Linked DNA regions of Pelodiscus sinensis. The protein of the gene in region 1 interacts with the protein of each later gene in a pairwise test. Links are inferred from orthologs where the notes say so. Each region holds a gene or a part of one and is shown in the gene's direction. Other genes may lie near its edges. The genes, in order: KIFC3, CLIP4, NECAB2 and KANSL1.

What was found.
Region 2: the proteins of KIFC3 (region 1) and CLIP4 interact in binary tests that used the Homo sapiens proteins (3 or more experiments, as listed by UniProt). The two-hybrid records come from large-scale screens. The link is inferred for Pelodiscus sinensis from reciprocal best matches to the Homo sapiens genes KIFC3 and CLIP4.
Region 3: the proteins of KIFC3 (region 1) and NECAB2 interact in binary tests that used the Homo sapiens proteins (3 or more experiments, as listed by UniProt). The two-hybrid records come from large-scale screens. The link is inferred for Pelodiscus sinensis from reciprocal best matches to the Homo sapiens genes KIFC3 and NECAB2.
Region 4: the proteins of KIFC3 (region 1) and KANSL1 interact in binary tests that used the Homo sapiens proteins (3 or more experiments, as listed by UniProt). The two-hybrid records come from large-scale screens. The link is inferred for Pelodiscus sinensis from reciprocal best matches to the Homo sapiens genes KIFC3 and KANSL1.

Annotation. Positions count from the first base shown.
Region 1 is NC_134722.1:45,848,999-45,856,325, reverse strand, and holds the start of KIFC3 (kinesin-like protein KIFC3), read left to right. Parts: upstream 1-4,326; 5' UTR 4,327-4,461; intron 4,462-7,327. UniProt on the Homo sapiens protein: Minus-end microtubule-dependent motor protein. Involved in apically targeted transport. Required for zonula adherens maintenance.
Region 2 is NC_134713.1:160,484,751-160,492,327, reverse strand, and holds the start of CLIP4 (CAP-Gly domain-containing linker protein 4), read left to right. Parts: upstream 1-4,521; 5' UTR 4,522-4,640; intron 4,641-7,577.
Region 3 is NC_134722.1:38,261,235-38,268,688, reverse strand, and holds the start of NECAB2 (N-terminal EF-hand calcium-binding protein 2), read left to right. Parts: upstream 1-4,402; 5' UTR 4,403-4,438; coding exon 4,439-4,663; intron 4,664-7,454. UniProt on the Homo sapiens protein: May act as a signaling scaffold protein that senses intracellular calcium.
Region 4 is NC_134739.1:6,916,034-6,923,341, forward strand, and holds the start of KANSL1 (KAT8 regulatory NSL complex subunit 1), read left to right. Parts: upstream 1-4,289; 5' UTR 4,290-4,614; intron 4,615-5,492; 5' UTR 5,493-5,635; intron 5,636-7,308. UniProt on the Homo sapiens protein: Non-catalytic component of the NSL histone acetyltransferase complex, a multiprotein complex that mediates histone H4 acetylation at 'Lys-5'- and 'Lys-8' (H4K5ac and H4K8ac) at transcription start sites and promotes transcription initiation.

The DNA of each region.
Region 1 (7,327 bases):
TCTGCAAAAGCTTTTGCGGAAAAACTTGCCAGCTGTCTACACTGGCCGCTTGAATTTCCGCAAGAACGCTGACGATCACATGTAAGATTGTCAGTGTTCTTGCGGAAATACTATGCTGCTCCCGTTTGGGCAAAAGCATTTGCGCAAGAGGGCCAGTGTAGACAACACGGTATTGTTTTGCGCAAAAGAGCCCTGATCACGAAAATGGCGATCGGGGCTTTCTTGCGCAAAACTGCGTCTAGATTGGCACGGACGCTTTTCCGCAAAAAGTGCTTTTGCGGAAAAGCGTCCGTGCCAATCTAGATGCTCTTTTCCGCAAATGCTTTTAATGGAAAAACATTTCCGTTAAAAGCATTTGCGGAAAATCATGCCAGTCTAGACGTAGCCTATGTGTGTAGCTTGCACCAAGAGGCCCACAGGAAAGCGATCACGTCTCAATAACAAATACAACGCCAGCCCTGCAACACTTCACCCGGCATGCATTCCCACCCTCTTGCTCAGCGAGGAATAGCTGCTATAAAGTACCTATCCCTATGGGTCTAGATCCTGGGGAGGCTGCATGGGGGGAGACTTTACTCTCTCATATGCCCCTGCACAGCCATATAGTATAAATTGAGCCTTACCATTTCCCTGGTATCACAGCAGTTAATTTTTAACCAATGGCACAAAAACTATGTAAAACAAAATAACCTATTTGCAGTTTTTAGAGAACAGACCTTTTAAAAATAATCCTACAGGTTTCTACTTTATACCTATTGTTTTGAGTAATTTAAATTACCTGGTATTGAAAAGCGTGGTGAGATGTAGAGACATACACTTTCTGTTGCAGCAGTACATGATATCTGCTATTACAGTGTTTTGGTCTCATTAACAGGTTACACTTGGGAACTTTAGACATAAAAGCTGAAGAATGATGCTGTACTATAATAGCTTGTTTACACTGCTGATTAACAGTAACAGGCAACCAGTAATAATTACTCGATGCTTGTAAACTTTTCTCAGGAGACACTAAATTGTTACAGCTGGTAGAAAATGTTCTCAGCAACATTTCCTAGTAGTTGTTGACTATCTTGACCCCTAATGGCAGCTGTAGGTATTAATGCCAATGCAGCAAAAGTAGTGTTACCTCATAGTTCTGCAAGCAGACCAATATCTAGTGACCAATATTTAGCAACCAAAGCAATTCAACAGCAATGCTATTTAATTTTGTTGGGAAATACCCTAGTTCTGATTGCCCATTTGCATACTATAATTATTATTTGCCTGCTGTGTTTTGCGTATATGACTTTGAATTTGTACTTGTAAAGTGTGATGTAAATAAACACCCATCACAGTTTTATATATTATCTTCTGTCACATTTTTCTTTGCATGGATATACCTGTTTCATTAACATAGGCAATATTGGCCTCTCTCTTAAATGCAACGAAGAAGATTTATGTGTAAATCCTAATATAATGCTGTGTTCATTCTGCTCAGGTGCATCTACATTGCACCCATCGCTCGAAATAAGCTATGCGATTTGAGCAACGCAAATTACGTAGCTTATTTCAAGTGAATTTCAAAATAGCTTATTTTGTAATTTCAAAATAACCTGCTATTCCGAAACACCCCTTACTCCTTGTGGAATTAGGGTTGCTAGGTGTCCAGTTTTTGCCCTGTCTGGTATTTCCTGTTTCCCTCTGACAGAAGCCCAGCCGGGACAATTTTCTCCTGCTGCATCTGGTGGGGATGGGGGAGTGAGGAGTGCAGGGTCATTTAAAGGTGCAGCACCCCTTTTTTTTCTCAACAGAATTTTTTCCCGGTGGTTTTGTGTGTGTGTGTGTGTGTGTGTGTGTTTGTGTGTGTCTGGGGGGGTGTTCGGTATTTTTGGTTAAACCTTCTGGCAACCCTATGTGGAATGAGGTTTACAGGGACGTCCAAATAGTGACCCCCTTATATTTTGAAATAATGGGTGTGCTGCTAAGACATGGGACAGCTATTTTGGGATACCTTCAGTATCCCAAAATAGCGCCACAGTGTAGATGTAGCTTTCTTGGTTACATATAAAATAAACCTCACACGTTTTCTTGCTTACAATTCATAATAGTTACCAAATTCCATGTCCCCACATCTGGAGATGATCTGGGCCCTACAAGAAAGAACTCAATGTGTTTCATTATACAGGCTGGATTTTTTTTAACCCTAATAGACTGTCTTGATGAACAGCATAAATCAGATTCTAAAACCTCATAGCAGAAAGAGCTTTGTGCCACCTAGGCCTTCCCGAAAAAACTTCCCCTGCGTCCAGACTCAAGCCGCGTTCTTTCGAAATTATTTTGAAAGAACGCGGCTTTTCTTTCGATGGCGGTAAACCTCGTTTCACGAGGAAGAACGCCTTCCTTCGAAAGTTCCTCTTTCGAAGGAAGGCGTTCTTCAATGTAAAGAGGCCGTCTTCGAAAGAGAGCATCCAGACTCGCTGGGTGCTCTCTTTCGAAAAAGCGGATTTCCTTTATCGAAAGATCCGCCTGCAGTCTAGACGCGATCTTTCGAAAGATGCTCTTTCGAAAGATGCTTTCGAAAGAGCATCTTTCGAAAGAAGCCTGCAGTCTAGACATAGCCCTAGTTACTATGTACTTTACACTGATGTGCATTTCTCAAAACGATCACTTAATTTCTGGCAGTAACATTTCCTGAATTGAACTGTGAGTGTTTTATGAGACTGAATTAATTTTCCAGCCATGACTCAACATCTGTGCAATGTAATTTACTGACTCTATTTTTCATTGCATGAAGTCTAGTGATTCAGACTCATGATACTTAGCATCAGGCGTTGGACTGCCCTCTCATTAGATGTACATAGCAAAACAAACCGGATGCAATCTAACATAGATACCTAGGATGACTGGAATAGTAGCTTTTTGTCTTCTACCACAGCTGTCTTCAGGAAAGTCTGTTTCAGCAGAGAAAGAATAGAAAGGTGCAGGAAAAATAGTACTGCATTTGAACAGATTAGTGACAAGCAGAATCTTTAGATCTGTCCTATAGATTGGCTGTATCTTTTTAATGTACTACTGGAAATGTGCTCTGGGGAGTCTCTGATTAATTCTTACTCCTACCATTTTCACTTCCAAAATAAAACAAAAAATCCATTAATTAGCTAATTTAATAATACTTCAAGATATATTGCACAATCTGTAGCTAAGGCACTTGACACACCTGATTCACTGTTGGTTCTGGGAAAGCATTGTCAGGCACAGAAAACTGCTGCTGTTCATCTATGAAGGTGCTTTCTAGCACATCACTAAAAGACTTAAGGATAATTGTTTGAGGCTAGAGAGGAGACTGCATGAATTGCTATTTAGAAAAGTGTGGTCTCAAGCTGGTATTTGTGAAAATGTCTTGAAGTGAATTAATCTGGCCCTGGTCTACACTTGGGCATTATTTTGAAATAACCCCTTTAGGTCAAATTTACAGGAGGCCCCACGAGATGCGACCGCCCGAGTTCCGACCCCCCACATTTACAACCATTTTTGTAAGTGTGGAAGGGGCCGGAAACCACCGACTTACGTCCTTAGCCTGCATTTACGACGGCGCACGGTGCCTGCTGTAAATGCAGGTTCGAGTTACGACGCCCCCGACTTGCAATGCTTCCTCCGGAACGAATCGCGTCGCAAGTTGGGGGCTTCCTATATAAGCAGAGAGTCCATACTACCAAGCCTATTATTTTGAAATAATTGGCCATTTATTTTGAAATGTGCATTCCTGCTTTCCTGGGGGAATAATGCTAATTTCAAAAGAGTTATTTCAAAATAGCATTCGTGTGGACACTCTGGTGCTGCTATTTCAAAATAACTCCTCCCCAGAGGCATTCAAATGAATTACTCCCCAGTGCTTCCTGGGGCTCCGAGACGAGGTAGCATGTCCACATTAACAGAGCCTGCCTCGGACTAATTTCGAGGCTTCCTCGTAGTGGGAATGCTATTTTGATTTTTGTAAAATTGGGAGTTAAGTCAAATGTAATCATTTCGAAATAATTTCCTACTGTAGACATGCCCCTAGTAATCAAATTGCCCTCTCAGGGCTGGGTCCTTTCACATCAGAATTGGAATATATCTCTATGGTATTACGGCACAGGCTTACACTTGCCATATCTTGCTCTCCTTGTTAACCTTTTTTCTGGGAGTGCTTCATAAGCAGAAGCCCTCATTAGTTTATGCCATGAAACATTAATGACCTATTGGATGAACTGTGTATTCTTCCTCAGGGCGATATCTGATTTCGTGGTTCCTAGGCAGCCATCAGAGCTGGCATGAAGCTGGGACTATGCTGTACAGGCATGCATGTCTGACACGTTGTTTAGCAGGGATAGAGAAGAAACGGACATGGTATAGTGCACAGATCTAGAGCATTAAGACTAATCAGTGGTCATATACAAGAGATCCTGTTTCAGAGGAGTTTGAAAAATTAGACAAAATTAAAAGGTAGGTCACTTAACAGGAGCAGAGACAATCCTCTGAATGTTGCAGCTTTTGCACGAAGGCAGCTTTGTGATACGTTGCTTGTCAGTCTGTGAGGTTATGTTCAACTTCTGTATGAGAAATGTTATTTCGATACTAGTGTAATAATGACACGTTGTATAGATGAAGTGTGCTTGTGACTCTTTGAGTGGTTTAGAGCTGCCATAGTAGCTCCATGCTATCCTTGATACTGGTTGTTGGTGCAAGGCATGGTCACAGAAAAGGGGTCTGACCCAAGCATCTCTTTGTTCCAGTGACCCCCATCTGTTGGAATGCACCCTCGGGACCCTAAGTAGCCATCATAAGCTACCAGAGTCCTAAAGTTTGCTGATTTATGCTGTGGATTAAACTGGATTTTGATCCATTGGCCACCTGAATATGGGTATGCAAAGGTGGTCAGGTTACTTTTATAATACTCCCTTCCGAGTCCTGAGCTGTGTTGAATGCAAGTTGGCCATATCTTAGAATTTGGGCCACTGGGTTTAATCCATTCAGTTTGTGCATTTTAAAATGAGTATAAATGCCTCACAAGCAGCTTAATCTTTGTAAAGAGCTTTGATATCCTTGGATAAAAGATATTGTAGAGATACAGAATATTATTATTTTATTAATTTTATATAGGATTTGGCAAATCATATCTCAGCTGCTCCCAAAAACCTCCTCACAGTTGAAGGTTCCTATGCTGCAGTAAAACTCTAATAATGAGCTAGGCTGTAATGAAATGGTCTCTAGAGACACAGTCTCATTACAATTGATCTTTCTGGTGAGGATTTTCAACAAGGAGAGTTGAGACTTTAATTCTGCTCCTATCTGTGTTTCTGGATTAGGGGTTTTTTGTTTTTTGTGTTTTTAATATATATATAATCAGGTTGTTTGTCTGGAGAAGTGAGGGAGTTAAATTTTAGCCAGGCTTTTGTAGTTATCTGCCCAGAGGTTTTACAGTTGTAGGTTAAATATTTGCTTGGGGCAGAATGCCTGGCTAATCCAAAAGCACCAATCGCAGATGTATTTCGATTGTTGTAGATTCACTTAGTCCTATGCACTCCATTGGGCAAGTAAAATAAGAATTAACTTGCCTGACTTAACTGGCTTATTTCTCCTTATCTGAGAATTCTCTAAACATTTATGCTTAATGAAAGCGACTCCCATAGCACTGGCTCTGTCATAAAGTTTTGGTAATGCATATCAATTCTGACCCCAACATTCCAGCTAATGAAATTAAGGGATTTTTCTGAGCGGACAGTCACAACTGTGATGATTTTGTGCTATGAAAAACGATCTACTAAAAAGAACATTGAAACTTGCCAGACTTTTTTAGTGTATTCATTCAATTACACTTTAATACAATCCAAATGAACATTCATTAACCACAGCATGCCTGTCAATTACCCCTTTTCCCTCTTCTGCTCCAAATGGTCTTTCTTGTCTGACTGTTTACTGCCACGTAGGAAAATGTGAATTTGAGAGTTTCTTGACATGGAATTATCTGGGGTCACTGCAATTTTCAGCTCACTGCAGTGTATATGTACATTTCTATCACTATTCTGCAGTTTATATTGCAGTCAAGAATGCATATCTGATGGAACTGGTTCTGGTGAGTTCAGTTTGTTCCTTATGCAACACCAGTCCTTACTGTAGCCATGCTCGCTGTGGGACAGATGTTAAAATTATTTCCCACATTTTACTCAGTCATTGCTCAGGCAAGCTCTCATGACATACAGTGAAAGTTTGTCTGAGTAAAAACTAAGTAAAGATTTCAGACTATGGCTCTATATCATTATCATCAGTGTTTTTTTTGTAAAAAAAAAAAAAAAAAAGTGCCAGTACTCTTTAAGACCCAGCCAACTGTTAGCCATTTTCATTACAGAGGTGCCGGTACTCTCTGTTCTTTCCAGGTAAGCTCTGCGTACTGGGCAGTACCATCACAAAAAAAAGCACTGATTATCGTTATGTGGCTTGTGGAATATTTGTAGTGTTATTGCTGAAGTGAGTATGATTTTGTGCTCAGTAAAAACAACGAGGAGTCCTGTGGCACCTTAGGGTGTGTCTATACAGCAAAGTTATTTCGGAATAACAGGAGTTATTTCAAAATAACTATGTGAGCGTCTACACAGCAATTCCATTATTCTGAAATAATTTCTAAATAACGGACAGCTTATTCTGACTTTTGTAAACCTCATTCTACGAAGAATAACACCTATTCTGAAATAGCTGCTGCTATTTCGAAATAGCCCCTCACCAGGGCCATTCTAAGTTATTCCTCCTGGGGCTCTAAATCGATGTATCACATCTACATTAGGGAAGCCTGCCTCGGACTAATTTTGAGGCTTTTCTGCAGTGTAGACGTGCTATTTTGAAATAAGCTATTTTGGAATAACTATTCCAGAATAGCTTATTCCGAAATAACTGTGCAGTGTAGACATTGCCTTAGAGACAAACAGATTTATTAGGGCATAAGCTTTCCATTGGTAATTGGGTTTTGAAATTTTTTGTAGAAGGATGGCTACTTTCAAATCCATGACTGAATGCCCAGGACATCCTTTTACAGAAGAATTTCAAAACATGCTTACAAAGGGAGACAGCTGAACTGGAGCTCATTTGCAAATTCAATACCATTCAGGACCGAGTAAGGATCTGAACTGGTTAATGTACGACAAAGGCAATTTCCCCTCTTTTAATATTCACATCTCCATACCAAATGCAGTTAATGAGCCACTTCTACCCTGATTTGATTGGCTTCGTTAACGCCATATAAATACCCCTGCCTCTGTAGCTTCCACTCCAACTCATCTGATGAAGTGGGTTTTACCTATGAAAGTTTATGCCCTAA
Region 2 (7,577 bases), on another chromosome or scaffold:
AACATCTCAATCTTACACTGGCCACACTGATGGTTTGGCAGGATTCCTTCTTCCAATGTACTAAAAAAATTGCTGTTAGTTTTTGTATTTTTTGCTAATTGCTCTTCACATTCTGTTTTTGCCTGGCCACGAAATGCTCCACGACCCCCCAGGAAGACTGACCTAATAACAGTCTGGTACATAGAGCTGAAAATGTAGACCACAAAAAAGTAAGGGTAATAATAAACAAATGCTAAATAAGGTCACGTGTCTGGCCAGAAGGGAGGGTGCAGGAGGAGACTTGGAGCAGGGTGCTTGGCCAGGAGGAAGGGTTGAGGAGGGGTCTTGGCAGAATATCTGGCCAGGAGCGGGTATTGGGGCAGGGTGTCTGGCCAGGAGGGAGGGTGCAAGAGGGGACTTGGGGAAGGGTGTCAGAGCAAGCTGGGAATGTGGGGTCTTGTCATGGAGAGGGGAATGAGGGGGGTTTGGGTGTGGGGTCTGGGCATGAGGGGGGACGCTTACCTGGCTTGGTACCCTGCTGCAGCAGGGAAAGCCTGCAGGGAGCATGCTCTTGTTCCTGGGAGGGGTGTGTGTGTGGAGAGAGCTCAGTTCCACACCGCCCATGCAGCGGGGAACCCAGCGCAGCTGCAGCAGCAGCACCAGGCCAGGCTTCCTGCTGGCGGGGGGTGGGGAGGGGAAGGGGAGAGAGGAGAAACCCTGACCATCCCCGCCAGATTAAACTTTGCCATTTTCCCAGCAGGCTGGGGAGGGAAGGCGCAGGGGAGATAGAGGAGCAGCACATGAGGGGCAACAGAGCCCAAGACTGCCCCGGGGGGGGGGGGGCAGCAGAGCCCAAGCGTGCCCCAGGTGGGGGGGGGGGAGCAGAGCCTGAGCTGGGTTCCCTGCAGGCAGCAGTTTTAAAATGCTATGGTGTGGGAACAGCTCCTCTCCTCTGGGGTGGGGGAGCAGAATTTTTTCTTTTCTCTCCATGGCACTGAACACAGTTTAAGAAACGCTAGTATAGATATTTAAAAAGTGTATTAGAGAGGTACCCAAACAATATTCGGATCTGACTTGGATAACTTTGGGTGTATCTGGAATTTGACCCTGTTCAGGGTCACAGCCTACTTCTATTTGAATCGTGTACTTTGGGAGTACCTCTGATGTGTTCATACACAATAATAACCATTCAAATTACTTCAAGGGTAAAAGAGTATATCATCTATATGCAACACACATATCTAGCCATCTTGAACAGCAGTCAAGGTATTTGTTTCTTGTAGCTACTACCCAATTTAAAGAGTTATCTGCAGGTGGTGGGTAACTCATGTCTGTATAGCCCCTTTCTGAGTGACTGTTCAGTTCAGAGCTAAATGATAATATATTGAGGTGACCTAGTGTTTCCTATTAGACCAGATTTCTGCATGCATGTGACGGGGTATATCAACCCCACATTGGACTTGTAAGAATTAACCAGGGCTCCCTGACTGAAAGAGCCCCCGCCCAGCCCTTGTCTGCCCCCAGCTGGCGGGCAAATATCAAGGCTGGTGGAGCAACTCAGTCAGGGCTGACCACTGGGGAAGAAGGTGCTGCCAGATCTCTGGAGGAAGAGCTGTGGACGGACCGACCCATGGAGGCCAGACAGTGGGGAATAGCTGGAGAAGCCCCCAGTCTGAAGGGAAGTGGCGAAGGAGGCTCCTTCGGTGAGTCTGGTAGGAAGTAGCCAAGGATGGGGAGACAGATCCCTGAGAGCTCAGTGTGTTTCAGGTGAATTCTCCGCTGAACTAGTGGCAGGCCACCCCGTCACTGACAGGGCTCTAGACTGGAACCAAGTCGAAAGGGTGGGCCTGGGTCCCCCTACTCCATCCCCATTAACCTCCAAGGGGGATGCAACAGTGACTGTGATTGCTAGGCCTTACTGCCCTGAAAAGAGGGAGCTTCTTACTGACTGCAGCCACTAGGTCTCACTGCCCTGAGAGCAGGGAGCGTTGCTACAGACTCTGGCCGTGAGGTCTCACCACTCTGAGGAAACGGGGCAATTACAGACTCTGGCCACAGGGTCTCACTACGCTTGAGGAAGGGGGTGTTTTACTGACTGTGGCTGCTGGGTCGGACTGTCTCAGGGGAGACGGGGTGTAGTTATTGTTCCTGAGCCAAAGGTACCGATACACACATGGGGTGCGGCACTCTTTGGGAGGTCTTAGAGGCCTCGTGCCCTGCCCCTAAAGGGGCTAGGCATCCTGACCCCAAGACAATGGAGTAAACATCTCTTTTGTACTTGGCACAGAATGATGACAGACTTTGGAATAATTGGTCTAGTTCAGTGATCCCCAAACTTTTCACTGTCATGTCCCCCTTAGTTCTGTCTATGCCCCTTCCTCACACCTGAGAGTGGGGCTGCAGCTCCTGCAATGGAGGACAAAGGAGACCAAGGCAGAGGCCACAGCTGGGGGTAGATATGGGGCCTAGAGTGGGACTGAAGCCAGAAATGGAGCTGCGGCCAGGGAACAAGGTTGGTGGCAGAGCCAGAGCCACAGCTGGGCCCATGGCTGGGTGCAGCTCTGCTCCAGTTCCTGTCCCCAGCCTAAGGCCCTGGCCTGGGAACAGAGGTGTGGCCTAGGGCTGAGAATGAGGGTGGTAGTGGAGCTGCAGTCAGACCATGAAAAGGTTGCCAGATGGTTTAACAAAAAATATTGAACCCCCCCCCTCCCCCCAAAAAAAACATGCTGGGAAAAAATTCTGACGAGGAAAAAAAAGGGGGGGGGAGGGAGACCAAAGTTAAGCAAAAAAAAGGGGGGGGGAGGCCGAAGTTGTTAAGCAAAAGTTGCACCACTCTCTCCAGTTTGGGGCCACAAACTAACCCCTAGTGCACCCACCCCTCCCCCTGAGCCAGGAAACCCCAGCGCCAGGAGCTCCCCGCCCCAATCAATTCCCCCTCTCCCCCATGCAGAGCCAGGCACCGGAGGAACGGGACGGCTGGGTAAGTTAATCTGACTTTTAAAGTCGCTGCTCCTGCTGCTTAGCCTGGCTGCCTTGGCTCACAGTGTATAGATGGAGGCATCACGTGGCCAGCTCTCGGGTCTCTGCTGGTCACGTGGGCCAGAGCAGCGTGCACTCTGCTCCCACCCCAGCCCGGCGCTCCCCCTAGCGCGGTGCCCGGCAAGTGCCCTCTCCTGCCCCCCTTCGCTACGACTCTGCTGCGCTCCTCACTCCCCTGCCCCTGCCAGATGCAGCAGGGGAAAATTGTCCCCGCTGGGCTTCCGTCTGAGGGAATCAGGAAATACCAAACATTTCACGTGTCTGGTATTTTCTGGTTTTTTATTTTTTAACCGGACGGAGCCCGCAAATACCGGACTGTCCTGGTGAATACCGGACACCTGGCAACCCTAGACCATGCTGGGGGCCAGCAGCCAGGCACATGGCTGGGTGTGGAACCGCACTCAGGCTGGGATGGGGCCAGTCCGGGAGCCTGGTTTATGGCTGGGAGTGGGTGGTGTTGCAAAGCAGGTGGTGCTGCCTCCACACTCCGCTGTAGGGGCTGGCCTGGGCCCACTGTGCCTTCACTCCCCAGATTGTTCCTCCATGCCCTGCTAGGGGTGTGTGTTTGACAGTTTGGAGGCCTCTCGTCTAGATCCTTATTTTTAAAAATTGCATTTGGTTTCATATTAGTTTGTGCTGGGCCTTTTAAACCAGCAGTTTAATTTGTAACTAGTGTTGTCCCTATAACTTGGAAAAAACAGTCCATAATTCAGTGTGAACAATAATATCTCAACAGGCAGAAATGTATATGTGATCTTTATAAATTGGTGGTTTTTTCCAATGGGTCTCTTGTATGCTGTTGAATGTCCTGGGTCTTATGGGCCTAATCCTGATGGCTGTACACAACCCAAGCAGGGATAGTTCATAGGTGACAGGGAAGAATGGAATCACCTCATCACAATCCACACAAGTACTGATATGGTCAACATCACCACACCATGAATTTATCCTCACAACTGCCCTGCAAGTCTTTCAGGCAAAACAGTGGTAGGCCAGACTTACCCTTAAAAAAATCTCAAGTAGAAGAAAGCCCCTTGAGGCCTTTATGCAATGCCTCAGAGAAAAACAAAAATGAGCAGTTGAGCTAAATTAGCAAAAGGATCCTGAAGGTTTCCATCACTTTATCTAACATTAGTTAAAGATTTGCCTTTTGTAGGGAACCTAACTTATTTTTGCTGATCCCTTTGAGCAGTCACTTATGATGGGTTTCACTGCATACAGGAGGGACACTGTGTGGGGGGACATGACTACTCAATCAAGAGGATTGGGAGTTACAGCAACTGCCTAGATGTGCTTCCTGGCTTCCACCTTGCCTGAGATTTCCTATCTTGTATGTCAAAGCCCAGTCCAACTCCTTTGACCTTGTGAAGGTTGAGAGACCGTGGCAGGGTTAGAAACTGAAATCCTCTATTTGTCAACAGAGCCAGTGCAGTTCAGGCAGATGCAGTTTCAACTTTTCCACTCTCTCTTGCCAATACTCTAGTGTACAGCACAGACTTTCCATCCTTCCCCAGGAGTGAGAGGTGCTGTGAGCTCCTTGTACAGAGACTGTTTGCTGAGGTGGCAGCCTGCAGATTACTCGCATTTGCAGAATGGTTTCTGTGAAGTGAGACTGCTGCCAGGTAAGAGACCAAGCAATGAGGATGAGTACTGAAAACCTATTTTGATTAAGACTTTAGGTTAGGACATATACCAAGACATCTTTAATATTATAATCACCATCCTCAATACTGGAATTTACTTAAAAATATCGGGTCATCCTAGAGATGATTTTAGTACCATGTGCATTGCATTGTTCCCTTCCCTGTGGACACAAAGCCATGCTTTTAATGAGTGTTTACATGGCAGCACAGCTGTTCAGACCAGCCAAAAATGTCTGGTATTTTTATTTATGGTACAAAAAATGTATCTAAGTCTCAGTACCACAGAAGACACCTTGACAATGAATGGTCAGATTCCATTAATGCAGGAGACAGTGTTCTAGAAGCAGATTATTTACCACATCTCAGAGAGAGAAATTTGCAAGATAAATACTCATGTTTTTTTCAGCAAGATTGTATTATTCCTTTTTGATTTGCCATATTCTTTTCTGGATTATTTTAGTTTTCCTCTATTAGATCCTGTATAGCAGGTGGCAATTTGCTACATGGACTGTTGTCTAGCAGAGTGTCTAATGATCAGAGTAGAGAACTGAGTGTTAGGACTCATCAGTTTTATTTGCAGCTTATGCACTGACTCAGTGAGCATGAAAAAACTTAAAAAACAATACCTAGTCTTGCAGCATTTTAGAGACTAACAAAACATGTAGATGGTATCATGAGCTTTTGTGGGCACAGCCCACTTCCTCAGATGAATGAACTTGGCTATCTCATTGAGCATAAGAACGGCCATACTGGGTCAGACCAAAGGTCCATCTAGCCCAGTAGCCTGTCTGCCAACAGTGGCCAGCACCAGGTGCCCCAGAGAGGGTGGACCGAAGACAATGATCAAGCGATTTGTCTTCTGCCATCCTTATCCAGCCTCTGACAAACAGAGGCCAGGGACACCATTTCTATCCTCTGGCTTATAGCCTTTTATGGACCTAACCTCCATGAAATTATCTAGCTTCTCTTTAAACTCTGTTATAGTCCTAGCCTTCACAGCCTCCTCTGGCAAGGAGTTCCACAGGTTGACTACACGCTGTGTGAAGAAGAACTTTCTTTTATTAGTTTTAAACCTGCTACCCATTAACTTAATTTGGTGTCTTCTAGTTCTTCTATTGTGGGAACTAATAATAGCATGGACAAGGGTATCACATAACTTTTCTATGCTTTGTGTATCCTCCTCTGTACAGTGGGGAAAATGCATACTTGCATCCCAAAGTTTTTGTGAGGTCCAATGTGATATAATGTTCTTTGACATTTTCAGATGATGAAAAGAGCCATGTTAGAGCCAAAATACTGTTAAAAGTTTATAGTCAAAAGAGCTAGGAGAGAAGTATTCACCTCTTGCCCAGAATCCCCATCCTTATACTGACTATATTTGCAGGCATACACCAAAAGAAAGAAACTCTCAACAGGCTCCGAGGTAGTAGAGATGGGAAACCTATTTGGTCAGTGTATCCAGTCCTCTGCCATTACAGGGTTTGATTCACAGTAGAGAATATATGAGGTGTTAAACGTGATACTATGCTTGAGAGGAAGGTGGGGCTGCAAAGTGGAAACTGTCCAATAAGATTAACTTCTTTGCCTAACATTTAAAAGCTGTCTAGCTGGTACAGATTTTAAGTTGCGGGCTGTATAGTAAGTCTCAGCCCTGTTATCTGTAGGATCTATGTGCTGCTGGAGGAAAGGCAGGAACATCTGGTTCACAGCATTGTAATGAGTGCTTTGGGGAAGGCCATGGTCCGTATTAACTGGCCTTGGCTTCAACTGGGGCTTGAGGTCCAATAGTAATAATCGAGAAAAATGATAGAACTGATGACAATGTCTGCAATGTCCAAAGCTGTTAATTATACAACTGATTAAACAGCAATTCAGGCCTCATAGAAAACTTTTAGAAAGCATCTTATCAACAGGCAATGTTGCCTCTTTTTTAGCATATTGGTGCAGTCTTGACAAAGCAATAAATTAAAAAATAATATATTCCGTATTGCATCTTTCATATCACTGACTGCCTAAAAGGCATGACAATGTTAAATAATGCAGTCATAGGGTTAAATGTAAGCAAAGAGAGAGTCTGAGTGGTGGGAAAAGATACTTTGAAATGAAGTTTGTCAATACCATGGAGACCAGGAGGCTATTTCTGGTGGCAGAGGCAAAGCGAAAGTTTTTGAACGAACAGGGGTGAGACTGTATAAAGGGACAGAGAATAGGCAAGTGTAAGAGGAGTGCAGGAGACTGATTTTATTCTAGTATGAAATTGTTGCTAGGTCTGTCATCTTTGTTCCCTACTCCTGCCACCTATTCCTCAGCTGAAGTCACAATCCTGTGTTTGTGACATTGTTCTTGTAATTATTCATCATAAATGGCAGTGGGTCTGTGATGAGAAGTTTGGATCCTGATCCAAAATGTTTGGATGCTGTAACCCAGAGTTTTGGTTTGACATGGCCTAAAAGTACTATGACAACTTCCATGTCTATGGAGAAGACGCAGGATCTTATGGCTAGATCCACAATAGTACTTAGGGACCCAACTGCCTCTTTAGGAGCCTAAGTCCAATGTTAAGACACTGCTGATGTTCTCACATCCATTGCTCAGCTGCCTCTTGACCCCAGAGGGACACAGTTTTCACCAGTGGGTGTGTGCAAAGTTGCCTAAGCACAGAATCTGCCCACAGCTGAATAGCTGCTCAGGGCCTCACTGAAACTTAGCATCCCAAAACAGGATTCTCAAGCAGATGTTTCCCCATCTCTCTTGCCTGTGGGGATCAGTGTTCTCAGTGCATGCCTACAGGATTGAGGCCTTCACATATGACAGCTGGGGTGAGTTGGGTTTTTTCAGGATCAGGCGTGTGTATCCTTGTCCATGTCCCAGCTCTGAACACTCACTTGTACTGTGAGAGACACAAGTTCACATTTG
Region 3 (7,454 bases), about 7.6 Mb from region 1:
GTTCAGGGTCCATCCGATTGAAATTAGTTCTGTGTATCTTGCTGGTTCTGCCTAGGCCTGTAATTAACATTTGCAAATTTCAATGAAATTCATGCTGGCTACAGGATGCTGGTCTGTTGAAAAATGTTACCCTGCTTTTTATTCTACTATATTTCCAATTAAGTGGTACTCTGTATCCATTAAGCTTTCAAAGCAACTGGGAGCTGTCAATAATATCACTCTCTGCTCTGGTGAAAAAATGGAAAAATCTCTCTGCATATTGGTATCTCAAGAGAAAACAAACTGCTTCCTTGTTAAAGTGCCAGGTATGGTAAAACAAGCGAAATGTACCGTTAATAGCTAGGCATTAGGGCAGTTTGAGTTAGAGTTCATTTGCCATTTTATATTCTTCTGACAACAGTACGAAGAAATCACTGCCTAAGGTTTCAAAGAGAATGCATATGTAGCCACATACCAATGCTGACTTTTATGGGAGCTATTTGATTAACTCTCTCATGGCCCATTGGGAAATGTAGCTGTCTTGTGTCTAATTTCACTCTGAATTATCTGCATTTTGCCATTTAGCCACCAGTTACATATTTCCCTCCTAAATTCAATGCTCCCATGAGCATTGTATGTGAAAAATACATTGTCCACCACCTAAATTTAGCTGCCCCATGGAAATTGCCAATGTTTTTCTAGTGTCACTTCATATTACCAAAACATTTTTTCTAGCATGTTATGCTGGAAGGCAGTGTTATTTTGCCACATGTTGTATACAGAACCCAAAGTTTCCAGTGTGAATGAATTCTCATAACAAACTGCTAGGAAAAGGCACTGGAAAGACATTATTTGTAAATGTATTCAGCGAACAATTCTTAATAACAAATAAATGCGAGATCATCATGAGCTGAAAATGGAAAATAGGATAACTAACTGAATTACTCACATATGCATTTAGCAAAGATGGCATTTTTAAGGAATGGCTAAAGGGCAAAGATAAACATATGAATATTTGGAGCAAGTAAATACCATTGAGAAAGTGGCATAATTTAGTGAACGGGGGTATAATTAGGTATATAGAGAAGTTTATGGTATTTATCACTACTGCACAATCTGCTGAGCTATGGAATAATCTCTCAAGAGAAGTGTTGCCTCTCTTGACATACTTTAAAACTACTGATTTAGAAAAAGTACACTGTGGAACAATTGCCCACTAATAAGGAAGACTGGCTTGACCAAACTGATCTTTTCCAGCTCCAAATTCTTTAATCCACTCAAAATTCCAACCAGAATGGGCAACATGGCCAGTCAAATTCCATCCCACAGCTATTTTCTAAGGGAGATAGCTACTGCTTTGGGAAAATCCAGGAGATGGACCGGATATCACTGAAGTCCCTTTTACACCTTGCTCAAAGAAAGGATAAGATATGAACCTTATGTCTTCTCTTATGGTTTCTTTGCTGTAAGGCTTATGGTTATGTGGAACGTAAGTGGTGCATAGGTATCATGCTAGCCCCATCAGAGGAATGAATTTCACTGTAAATGAGCACAGCCCAGTTAGCATATTGCAGGCAGTTTCAATAAACCAGATTTTTTGTCATTAATTTTGAGTTGCTGGGCAAAAAATAAATTCTGCAGCCAAAGTACTGCCTAACTGAGGGGGTACTGAGGATGAAAGTAGTATCCCACTGCCAGTCTTTATGTGTGCTCTATTTATAACACATTTCCGGAGCCCACTGCTATTATATGCTTATTCCAGCAGAGAGAACTGAGCTCCTCGTCTCTTGTCTTCAAGCAGCAGCTGAACACCTACGCTTTTGAAATGAAACAATAAAAAAGTTTCTTCCTGGTTCACTTGATCAAAGAAAAGATGAAGCAAGAAGTAGACTTCTGTATGTCTACACAGGGGATTTGCTCTGGAGTGGCTGCTTTAGTGTAACAGTCCCTAGTGTAGACAAACAACACAGTCCAATGCATGGGCTCCCATTATAAAAATACTAAATGATAAGAGAGAGAAAGGAAGAGCAATTAATGTGCAGGTTGGATCAGGCCTTTTGTGCAGGAGTATCTTGGATTATAACATACAGTGACTCTCAAAGTGGGCGGAGGTGCAGAGATCAGCACAGAACCTTAGCAATGAAATTTTCATGAAGGAGCCCGGACAGCTTCAATCTATGTCCATGGCAGCCTGCTCTTAGTATAAGGGCCAGGGCAACACTGAGGACCACCAAATAAAAGGAGGCTGGCTAGCCAAGAATCCTCAAAGGAAGCTTGGAGTGTTCATATTAGCCTAGTACTCCGGAGCCAGTACCCTAGGGCAGAGATTCTGGAATTACTACCAATGTTCTGTATAGTACTTCTTTGGTGATTTATGGAAAAGTGGCTGGTTATATGCTGTTGGGTGGCTTCTTTCCTTCCAGGTACAAAGTTGCATTAATGCTGTGAAAAATTTCTTCCATGTAAATGCAATTGCAATAGCTGCCGCAAATGTTTGCTCTAAGGGTATGTCTACGCTAGCCTCCTAGTTCGATCTAGGGAGGCTAATGAGGGCAACCAAAATTGCAAACGAGTGCAGGATTTAAATATCCCGTGCTTCATTAGCATGTTCCCGGGTGGTCGCCATTTTAGAAATTGACTAGCCCGAAGTAACTGCCCGCGTCTACACGCAGCAGTGAAACGGGATTCTGAATAAAAGCCCTAAATCGAATTAGCTCGTATTCCTCCTGCAATGAGGTTTACCAGCTAATTCGATTTAGGGCTTTAATTCGGAATCCTGTTTCACTGCCGCGTGTAGATGCGGGCAGTTACTTTGGCTAGGCGATTTCTAAAATGGCGACCACCTGGGAACATGCTAATGAAGCACGGGATATTTAAATTCCACGCTTCGTTTGGGATTTTGATTGCCCTCATTAGCCTCCCTAGATCGAACTAGGGGGTTAGTGTAGACATACCCTAAGTGGTCCCTGCATACACAGCCCAGAGGGGAGGTGATCAATGGCATGCAAAACCATGATTTTTTTCTATTAAGAGTGGGTGCATTAAAATGCTTTGGAACTCCCCAGTCATAGAGGATCATGGAACAAAGCCTAGTTCTGTCTCAACTCAGCCAACTACAAGCAAAATATCTTGTAACACGAAAGGAGGTAGCCTTGAGGACACCATTAATATTTAAAACATATATGCATATTTATATGATTTATGTATATCTATAATGATGAATCATTTTGAAATAGCACACTGACATACTAATAGCAAAATAAAACAAAGTTCACTGGAATTAACATCAAAACACAGCCTGATCTGCTCTGTGCACTGACCCTAGCAGTACACTTCTAATTAGAGATGACTCCATGAGGTTTACAGTGAGAGAGTCTGGAGCTGCCCTTTGCTGCTTGGGTCAATCTCTTCTCTTAATTTTCTCCATTATTGTCCTTTCAGTTTGTATATTTTTTGTGTGATCAGTCTGTGCTGGTAGGAAGCTGAAGTGGGTTAATGGCCGTCTGGCAAAGGATTTATCTCTTGTTCTGTGTTTGTAAACAGCACAACGTGTCTCTCTTCACAAGCAGCATTATAGGACTAGTAATATTTGTCCAGTTGAGCAAGGCAGGTCGCTTAGCAGCTCTACAAAGAGCCAAGTGAACCCAGCTGGCTGGTTTTGTTAGGGCTTTGTGTCCAGAGGTGGAGGTAGGCTGCATTCTGAGTTGCCCTGCATAAAAGAGTTGAAATTTTTGGTCTGGTAATGATGAAGACAAAGTAGAGGTATTTTTAAAATGCAGCAAATTGTCTCCAACAGCTTGTGGGAGAGAGAGCTCCTAGCTCCTTCAGCAGGGCCACGCAACCCAAATGCGTGTGGTATTGTGATCCTGTGTGCCAGGTCATAGCACCAACCATTCCAGTTTGGGCTGTCAGGACGAGTGGATTCTAACCCTGAGTGTGGCAGAGGACTGGAGGCTAGTGCCTAGGGCTGGAGGCCAGGGCTCTTGCCTTCTCACCCTAGAGGCTGCAGAGGAATGGGAGGGGGCTGGGAGCCAGGGCTGGGAGCCAGGGCTCTTGGGTTCTGGCCCTACAGGAGGCAGAGGAATGGGGGATGGGGTCCAGGGCTGGGAGCCAGGGCTCTTGGGTTCTGGCCCTAGAGGTAGCAGAGGAATGGGGGATGGGGTCCAGGGCTGGGGGCCAGGCTCTTGGGTTCTGGCCCTAGAGGTAGCAGAGGAATGGGGGCTAGTGCCTAGGGCTGGGAGCCTGGGTGCTGAGGAAGGGGCCGAGGGCTGCAGCGCCGACCACCCCGCATAAAGCAGCGTCCCCCACTCTCCCTCCCGGGGGACCCCTGAACCCGGCCCGGCTGCTCCCCCGGGAGTGCGCAGGGAGGGGTTTGCGGGCGAGCCGCGGGCGGCTGTCAGGGTGATGCAGCCTGTGTGGGAGGGGATACCCCGGCTCCAGCATGAGGACTGTGTGAAAGATGTGCGAGCAGGCAGCGCGCTACTGCAGGGAGAGCGTCCACAAGATCCTCCACAAGCAGCAGCCGCAGCTCCGGGGGCTGGACGGGCTGCTCCGCTGGATAGTCACCAAGATGAGCGACAAGAGCATCCTCTCGGAGCGGGAGCTGCCGCTGGAGGGGCAGGCGGCCGCCGGGCAGGGCTTCTGCCCCCCGGAGCAGAGGAAAGGCACCTCGGTCATCCTGGATGTGAGTTCCCGCAGGGCACGGGCAGCAGCGAAGGGGCCCGGGCCGGTGCGAAGAGCCGCAAAGTGGGGGCGCTGCGAGCTGCCCCCGGGCCCCCTTCGCACGGCCCCGCTTCCGGCTCTGCAGCAGCGAGGCCGGGCAGGGAGCAGGTGGGGACCCGGGCGGGGTGGGTCTTGCTGGGGCCGCAAATCTTGCCAGGCTGGGTGCAGCTGGGAGGCGAGCGGCCCCGGCCCTGCGGGCTGAGCGGGAGCTGCTGAGCCCGGGGCAAGGCGGCCGGGTCAGTGGGGCAGCCCTGAGATCTCCATCTCTCCCGCGCCTGTGGCTGCCAGGAGTCGCCACCGAGCAGCCCGGGACAGTGCCCCCGGCCCGGGCTCACTAGGGGCGTTCAGTGCCCGAGCCAGCCTCGGCTTGCGGGGGAGCCGCCTCGAGCGCCTTTCTGCCGTGTCAGTGTCTCCCTCCCCCTTCTGTCGCCGGGACAGTCCCGGCTTTTCCTCCCAGCGTGCCTGCCGACCTGCAAAGAATCTGGTGTGTGGCTCAAAGCTGCAGGGAGAGATGGGAGCCAGAAAGAGTGAAATCGAGGTGGCCCCTCCATTCAGACCAATATGTTAAGGCAAACACCTGCTCTGCAGTTTGAGATTAGATCCATGAGGCTTGTTTGTGCTCTTTTCTGGGCAGGTTCTGGCACTTTTACAACACTGAAACCGAAGAATAGTTCCAGGGTTCCCAAGCATGGATTAAATTGCTTGTTTATCGGTGTGATGGAATTGCACTTCAGTTTTGGGAAATGGACTATCACATCCAATATATTCTTATTGAAAATTTAAAAAAAGCACAATACATGGCGTTTTTTCTGGTACATTTCCTACAGTGAAATTATAGTTTTCAGTTGAGGTGCATATATCTCTGGGGATACACAGAGGGCTTCATTTAGATACTAACCTAGTTTTACAATAGGCTCCAAAAAGCACTAGTAAGATCAGTAGAAACTAAAATTTCATACAATGACTGATTTATACTGCTTTATCTCCTATACAGTGAAATGTAAGGACAATGCTTATATTCCAATTGATTTATTTTATGGTGCAAATGATTATTTTATGGCATAAATGATAAATACAGAAAAGTTGCTTGATGGTGCAGTGACACTTTTTGTACGTTTCTCTGATTTTATAAGTCGTTTTTAAGTGAGGTGAAACTTGGGGGTACACAAGACAAATCAGAGTCCTGAAAGGGATTCAGTAGTTTGGAGAGGCTGGGAGCCACTGCTAAATAGTGGATGTTTTTGAATGTTAAGCCTCACATGAGTTTGATGATTTGGCATTTAAAGGTACATTAAGCATTAGATATTTCAATCTACATGAAATCTGTGTGGCTATGTCTGCACAGCAGCATTATTTAGGAATCACTGATGTTATTCTGAAATAACAATGAGTGTGTCTACACTGCAAGCCATATTTTGAAATAATGGCAAGTCGAAGGATTTCTTACTCCAACTCCTGTAACACTCATTTTATGGGGAGTAAGGGAAGTCAAAGGAAGAGTGTTCTTTCTTTTACTTCCTGCTGGGTAGACAGAACCAAAAGTCCAATTAAAATATTTCTACTTTAGTTACACAATTGATATAGCTCAAGTTGCATAATTGAATTTGGCTTTTACCCTGCTGTGTAGACTTGCCGTATTTGAGATACTTAAATATGAAAGAAAAGTATAGGAGATATTAATTGTAATAAAATCCTTGACAGTAAGGGATACATAGTAAATGAGTTCATTCCAACCTTTGGGGTAGATTTCTTCTCTCAACTAAGCAAAAAATTAGCATATTCTTACATTAAGCAGAAGTTTTTTAAAAAGGGAATTTGTTACAGAATAAAATAACTATTAATCTCCCAAGGCTCAGGCAAGTAAATTTCAGACAGGAATTAAATTTAATTTAGTAATTAAATGAATAACTTGGGGGAAACATAGCCATTCTGTATCAGGCATGAATTCTAGATTCCTTTGAAAAATAAAGGTGATTACACAGATTACCTTTTGCAGTGTTCTTTTCTTGAGAGGTTAGGACATGTTCTCATTATGTGCGTCATGATGCTTGTTAAATATAATTAGGTTTTCTCAAATTTTCTTCTCTGCTGTTCTTATGACTATAATAATCTCAATTTTTAATCATAGAATCCTAGTATAAGAACTTAGGTAATTTAACAATCTTTACATCTCATGTTTATCCATAGTCCTATTTCATACCAGTTAAATAACTTGCACCTCTACAAGTAAACTTTGAAACTTTTCTTAATAGCATTTTCACCAAAAATATAGAACTCTCTGAAGAATAGTGAAACGAAAAATTAAGGACAGGTATATTATGACTTTCACACAGTTGTTTTTAGCACATGCAAGTAGTTTGTGACATTTATGTCAGTATTGTTATGGAATGTGTATTTAATACTTTTTAATATTTTCTGTTAGCTGTTTTAGTAAATTATTTGCATTTAAATGGAATTAAAAGAGAACAGAGTTGGGGGGGGGGGGGGCAGTACAGGCAACTCCTGAAGAAAATATAATGAAAACTGTTATATTATAGTTTCTGATATGGTGGCATGTAATAAATAAAACATACACATCAGTTTTGCAGTCTTCCATCTTTAAAAAAATATAACCATAAACCTGTAGTGATCATAAAAAAATAGCTAGTAGCTAGAGTCTGTTAATATCCCTGAGTCCAAACCAACAATATCTCTTCTATACTAGTCCATAGATTTCCTGACAAATCTTATTGAATCATGCCATAATCCACAAC
Region 4 (7,308 bases), on another chromosome or scaffold:
AATTAATAATAAAAAAACAAAAACAAAGGTCATGCTTAATTCATTATCATCCTGCCTCTGGGAACGTCCATATTTTCTTCCTCTCGGCACAGGTTCAGAAGAGTAATTGTATGGATTCTAGCCTTTAGTTTATATCTCCATGGAGCTTGTATAGGTGGGTGAGATTTAGATCTTCTGTATTAAGGGCCCCAAGGATTTTGCCAAAGCCACCTTTGGACACCTTTGTCAGATGTTCTTTCCTACAGTATTAAAAATCAACACACTTGGAGCAGTTCTTAAAAAATTGTTTTGTAACAGCCATCTTCTTTTAAGATGCCTACACTGATGTAATCTACTTATTTGCTAGAGCTATAGTGTGCAATGTGATGCTCTGAAGACACCTGTGACTCCCACCCTGGAAAGCTGATGACTAGTTTTTCACACAAACAAATGATCACAGAGTTCCATGAATGAACTCCATGGATTGGGGTTGTCCACTCTATGGGTGAAATCTTGACCTCACTGAAGTTAGTGGGAGTTTTGCCATTGATTTAAGTGGGTCCAGGGTTTCCCCTTATACTTCAAATAGTCCAGTGATTCTGATCTCCTTAGAGGGACAGAACAGCACCAGTGTAATAGAATTCAGAGCAGTCTGAAAAATCCTGTCTACTGTGGATTCAAATCAACACATCCTTATTATGCTTATTATGATATACATAGAACAGTTCTGGCCTACTTCAACAAGCTGGAGTGTACCTAGTCCTCATGTCTCCACAGGAAAACTACTCCTACTCACTATGGCAAAGAATAATCTCTACTCAAGGAAGAATGGTTTTGCACAGAATCTAATTCAAATCCATACAGCTGAACTTAGTCACCCTTTTTAAAGATATCTAGAAGGTAAAAGTTGCTTTGTTACATGATTGCCACACTGCACTATCTTGACTTTTGGGGTTCCATCATTGCAAAGAGATCAGTGGATGCCCAAACCTTCTTCTGTGTTGCAGTCCAGTGGTGCTTCTGGCACAGCTCACCTTTCCTCAATTTAAAATGTTAAAAACATGACTCTTTTAGATGTGATCAAGCGGATAGAGCATGGAGCTAAAAACGAGGAACTGAGATCTAGTTCTACCATCAGCTCAGCTTGGATAAATCACTTATCCTTTCTTTGCTTCAGTTTCCCCAAATGGGGATATTTATACCTATCTCATAGCAGGGTCATGAGGTTTAACTCATTAACCCTGCTAATAGTTGAACAGTGCTTACAAAATGTAGAGTACTGAGTAATATTATTTAATCACTCTCAGGCCCTGGGTTAGACTCTTTCTACCATAATGCATGCTATAATAATTTGTCCATTTCTATGCAAAGAATATTAAGCATAAACAGAACTCAACATTGCACTGTGAAGTGCCTAAAATAAATCCGATTACTTAACAATTTAGCATTTTTAGTCTTACATTTCAGGAAGGGCTTCATACTTTAAAATGGTTGGCCTTCTTTGTCTTCTGATCCTGGGAGGGGAGGTAACAACTACTGGAAATGTAAAGACTTCTTGAAAGCTGAAAGTTTATCAGCTCAGTATGTGACTTATGCCTCAACTGAAAAATCTCTGAATAGAACTTACAACAGACCCACTTCACATGCGCTGAGAAACCAGCTTTTCATATCTGGGTTTCCCGGACATGGATTCTTGCTGAAATTGCCACAGCAGCAGTAACCACTCTTACTCCACTGACAATGAAAAAATGTACAATATAACAGGAAAAATTAAATAATGGTCTTGCCTTCTCTAGGAAAAAAAAGAGATGTGTGTTCTAATACTTGTTAGCATCCTGGTGTTGATGTAGCAAGCTGTAATTTTAACATGTAAGCAGGTCAAAGCAATCCCTAGGAAAAAGTCTATCAGGCTAATGAGTTAAAACTGCAAATTGTCTTGTCTGCATTAGGATTTTAACATGTTAAAAACCAGGAGCAGAAGTAACTTCCTAATTAAATATGTGCACTATACTGGACTTAATTGCTGAGGTGGCACGTACCACCTGCAGCTACACCTGGTGCCCTGGCACTGGAACTGTAATCCTGGCAGGTTGAGGAAGGAAGGCCCTTGTGGTTGTGGTTAGAGTTTCCTGGAAAACAAGCAAGCTGGCTCCATGCCCACACTACAGCAATGGCAGTGCTATGGGCATTGCTGTCACATCACCACTCAGGTTTCAGCTACTCTTGGTTTACGAGGCAGTGGGGTGTGATCATTGGAAAAAGATTATATCTGGGCCTCCAATGTGTGACAGATATGTTAGTGGACCATCCTTGTGGGGCTTTTGCACTTAACCTATTAACAATTGCCCTGTCTCAGCTAGTAGTTTGTTCAGGGGGACATGAAGCAAAATGCAGGACAATGTAGCACTTTAAAGACTAACAAGATGGTTTATTAGATGATGAGCTTTCGTGGGCCAGACCCACTTCCTCAGATCAAATAGTGGAAGAAAATAGTCACAACCATATATACCAAAGGATACAATTAAAAAAATGAACAAATATGAAAAGGACAAATCACATTGCAGAACAGGAGGGGGATGCGGGGGGGGGGGGGGAAGAAAGGAAGGTAAGTGTCTGTGAATTGATGATATTAGAGGTAGGGAGAGTGGGATGTTTGTGAGTTAATGGTATTAGAGGTGATAATTGGGGAAACTGTCTTGGTAATGGGTGAGATAGTTCAAATGTTTGTTAAGTCCTTGTTGGCAAGTGTCGAATTTTAACATGAATGACAGTTCAGAGGATTCCCTTTCAAGTGCAGATGTAAAAGGTCTTTGTAGCAGAATGCAGGTGGTCAAGTCATTGAGAGAGTGTCCTTTCTGGTTAAAATGGCAAGAAACTGTTTTCTCTTTGTGATCTTGTCTGATATCTGTTTTGTGGGCATTAATCCTTTGGCGAAGTGTCTGAGATGTTTGTCCAATGTACATAGCAGACGGACACTTTCGGCACATGATAGCATAGATTTCTATCACTATTCAGGGGGACAGTCTTTGGGAGAACTGCTAATAGATTGTGTGCCCACAACAGGAAAAGCAACTTTTGTTTTTCTTCTAAAACCAGCAGGGATATGATATTCAGGGATACCTTCACTGCAGGAATCCTCCTGCTTTTCCCTCTCCCTCTTTGGTGAGTTTCCTAGCTCAGAGCGGCGTGCTGCGACGTGACAGGCGCGCCCCAGCTTTTCCTTCCCCCTGTAGGCCCAGATGTGGTGTGATGGCATGTGCGGGTGTGTGTCAAAGCCTCTCTCAGCTTGGAGGCTGCAGAGGTCTTTTTGTGGTCCAGAGTGGTCCCCGTGCCCCTCAGAAGCAGAGATGCTGAGTGCAACAGGATGCCCTCTTTCTCACCATCCCTCTCCCTGACTCCCCCTGCCCATTTCACACAGTCTCCCCATTCCCAGGCTGTGTAGTTTGCCCCTTATCTCATTCAAGCATGAGGGTGAGTGAGTGGGGGGGGGGGGACTGATCCAGTGGATGGGCCCTGCCTGGCAGCCACATGCAGCCCTCCCCTTCCCTTAAACATCTCCGGGAAACACAAGCAGAGGCAGGGACAAGCCGAGACACCCGCATCAATCACCCCTCCCGCCCCGCCCCCTGACGCTGACAGACACCCCCTCCTCCAACCACACCGGCCCAGGCCCTCCCCACAGCCAATGAGAGGGGAGGAGGGAGGAAGATCCCCACTTCAAGGCTGGTTGAGCTGTGCAGGTAGGTGCTGGGATGTGGGAGCAGAGGCTGGAGCTGGTGCAATCGGGGGAGGAAAAAGGGGGAGCTGTGGAGGGCTGGGCGGGGGGGCACCTGGCCAGGGCAGGCCGAGGGGCTGCGGGGCAAGGCAGCGGGGGGGCTGTAGCCTTGCAAAGGCATGTTGCCGGGGAGAGGGAGCGTGTGGCTGGCAGAGGGACCGATCACCCCCTATGGTGCTGCCATAGACAACAGGCCAAGTAGTGCTAGGAGCCCCCGTCCTGCAACTTTGCACGAGGAGTCACTGGGGCTGGGGGCGAGGGTGGTGAGGGGAGGGTCAGAACTTTATTGGATCGGGCCGTGGAGTCGCCTGCCCTGCAGTGAGCACAGCCCCCTGTGACTCTTCCATGCAAGCAGAGAGGAGCGATTGCTCAGAGCTAATTCACCAGGCCAAGGCGGGGGGCGGGGGAAGAAGGAGGAATGGTTCTTGCACAGCCAGAAAGTGAGTTTGGGGGGGCGGTGGGGGACGGAGAGGTCGGGGGAGAGCAGGAACTTTGCAGCTAGACGTGAAACGCAAATAGACGGGGTGGGGGGGGGATCTGCAGCTGCTCAGTCACACACCACATTGGGGGGGGATATTTTGTGGCATTTTGCAACAATGGTGATGGCTAAACGAGCAGGCCAAATGCTGGGAGCTGCTGGGGCATCGGGCAGGGGGCATCCGCAGAGGGGGCCGGGAATGAGCTCTAACCTGGGCCAGCCGCATGCTGGGAGACACCCGGATCGTCTCCTCGCAGAGCGGATACACTGGAGGGGGCTCGGGGTGAGCGTCGTAATTTGGAGAGGGCTTCCAGTGCCTGCGCAAGGACACTTTATAACTCCCGAGCTGCAGCGAGATTGAGCCGTGGCTTGGAGTTTTCAGGCGAGTCATCGGTTGTGGCTTCTCAGGCGTTTGGGTTTTGTTTGTTTACTTGTGTTAAGGGAAACAAAATGACCACAGACATGCACGATCCCCAAGGCATGGACAGGAGCAAAAGAAGGCGAGGAGAGGCACTGGCACTAACATGGCAAAGGCGTCACAGAAGCAAACATGGCAAAGAGCCTGTAAAGACTTTAGCTATTCAGTTTTAGGAAATGGGATAGAAAATATTCTTAGATGTCTTCTATTTGTCCAGTCCTCCATTTTACCCAAACATTGAAAAAAATGGCATATTTGATACTCCCAAGGTGGGTTTTAGAATGATTTAAAACAAACAAAATCCTGGCAGAAATAACTCTATGACTTTTTTTTGTTATTGTAAATTATTCCCTTCCCCAGCCCCCAAAGACCTGATCCTGGAAAATAAATGTATTTCAGTGGGTGGCAGGCATTCATAAATGTGGCATAAAATTAAGTGATTGTGTAATTTCTCATGGAGGTGATTTCTTAAAAGAGAATTTTCATGAGAGCCTAAGGGAGTTAGGTGCTTAAATCCCAATCCTTTTTTTACATTCCTTTCATCTCTTTAACTGAATTATTTAATCTATATAGTGTGCAGATTTTTGTCTGCACTTTCCAACTATTTTGTCCTCCAGGAGTTTACAGAGGTGTGTCTATTTTTCCAGTTATTGTGATTCTTTACATAGTTTGTTTTGTGTGTTTGCTATATATTGTGCTTTTTTGGGTGAAGTTGGTGATAAAATGTCTACTTTCTAAATCCTGATTTTTTTTTTCTTAAGGCTAGTTGTATCATATATGTTTTGTTTGCAAGTTATATTTCTTTCCCTTGATTCTTTTTTTATTGTTGTTTTTTGTTATAGACAAAAGATTTCCACTTCTTGAAATCAGAAAGATTTGCGGAATTTGGTTGGATTTGGAAAGATTACAAGTCCTTCAGAACTCCATCCTGAGTCTTTTCTGAATTGCTCCAGACACTATGGATTTTATTAAGATGTCCTGCAAGGTAGGAACTTCTAGTTCTTCATTTTTAAACTGGTACCTTGTTTACAAACTTTTGTTCAATACAAAAATGCCTGAATTATGAAAAGCACCATGATAGTTGAGGTCTTTGTTTAGAATTCTGATGGTACCATTTATTCTCAGGAGAGGTTTAAAATCCAGGACCTCTTTAACACTTTCGTGAAACATAATTAACCAAAAAAGGAACTCCAGGAATACAGCTCAATACTGAAAGTGAACTTTTTAGGTTTGGGCTCTCTCTGAGGAAGAAAATTGGTGGTGTAAAATTGGAAAAAATACAATTAATTTCTGGAATTTTTATTTTTTTAAATATATATGAAACTTATTTTGAATTTGTATATGTATTTTAAGTGTGAATATAATATTAAAAAACCTATTCATTTATACTAATAACTATAATTTTAGGTGAGTATTTCAGGATCATTCAGCATGGTACCAGAAATGCTTTATCAGCTTTTGACACTGTCTCCTGATGTAGTGTACTTGGGAGGTCACTGTATGTTGTAAACAGGAGCGGCCCTAGACGAGCTGCCAGCAACTGGCGCCTTAGGCGAAACGTGCAATCGGCACCCCTGCCTCCAAAGCCCTCAACGGCCATTTATCTTGGCGCCCTAGGCGACTGCCTAGTACGCCTGTATTGACGGGCCGCCACTGGTTGTAAACTAGAAGTTGGGTAGTTCCTACTGAAAATGTGGGACCCAAGTAACTTCCTTAATATTTTAATCATTCACAGAATTGTTAGAAATTATTTTCCAGGGTGTAAATCAATTCAATCTGAAAGACTTTCTGGTCCTCTTTGTCAGGTTATCTGGAGATTTCCAAATGCATTAGAATTGTCACAGTAGCTCTATCCTGTCAGCGCCACTCTGACTGTATGAAGCTATAACCTGCTACTACCAACCGTATTGGTTTTTTTTGTGTGTGTTTTGTAAACACTTGATAGGGCTTGATGAGGTCAACACTTTATACAGAAGACAGAATATTGTGAGTACATTTGAAACATTTTAGAAATTATGAAGAAAAGGAGCACATTTACTGAGTCCCATCTAGTATATTTTAATGCAGTCCCCATCACTCCAGTTAGTGCAGGACAGATCCTCAAGGTATTTTGTCTAATACTTTGTCCAGCCTACTTTTAATTGACTCATTGAATAGAGCATTCACAGCTTCAGTCTGTCTAATCTCACCATTAAGAAACACTTTCTGATATTCTACTTCCCCCTCCCTTTTAGATTCATTCTACTGGTCCAAGGTTCCATTTTTGAATAACCCCCAAATAATGTATCTTTTCTTGTTGTGTACACCCCTGAAATGCTTGTATATGGCTGCCATATTCTCTTTGCTCTGTTTACGTGGATCCTAGTATTGTTACACGTGCTTATAATTTTGCATGCATCTGTCAGCATGGTTTAGTGTACTCAGCATTGGCATAGGAAATCTTCTAGTTACTATTTGTGGTGGATAAGTTATTTCAACTCTCTGTGCCTTGTTTTTTCCATCTCTAAAATTAGGATAATATTGATATGCCTGAACAAGGAGTTGAGGATTAGCTGATGTAGGTACGCTGATTTTGGGAGAAGCATTATATAAGTAGTAGTGATTATTACAATGTAGAATTGTATAGATTTGGCCAAGCTGTATGCATTTAATAGAAAT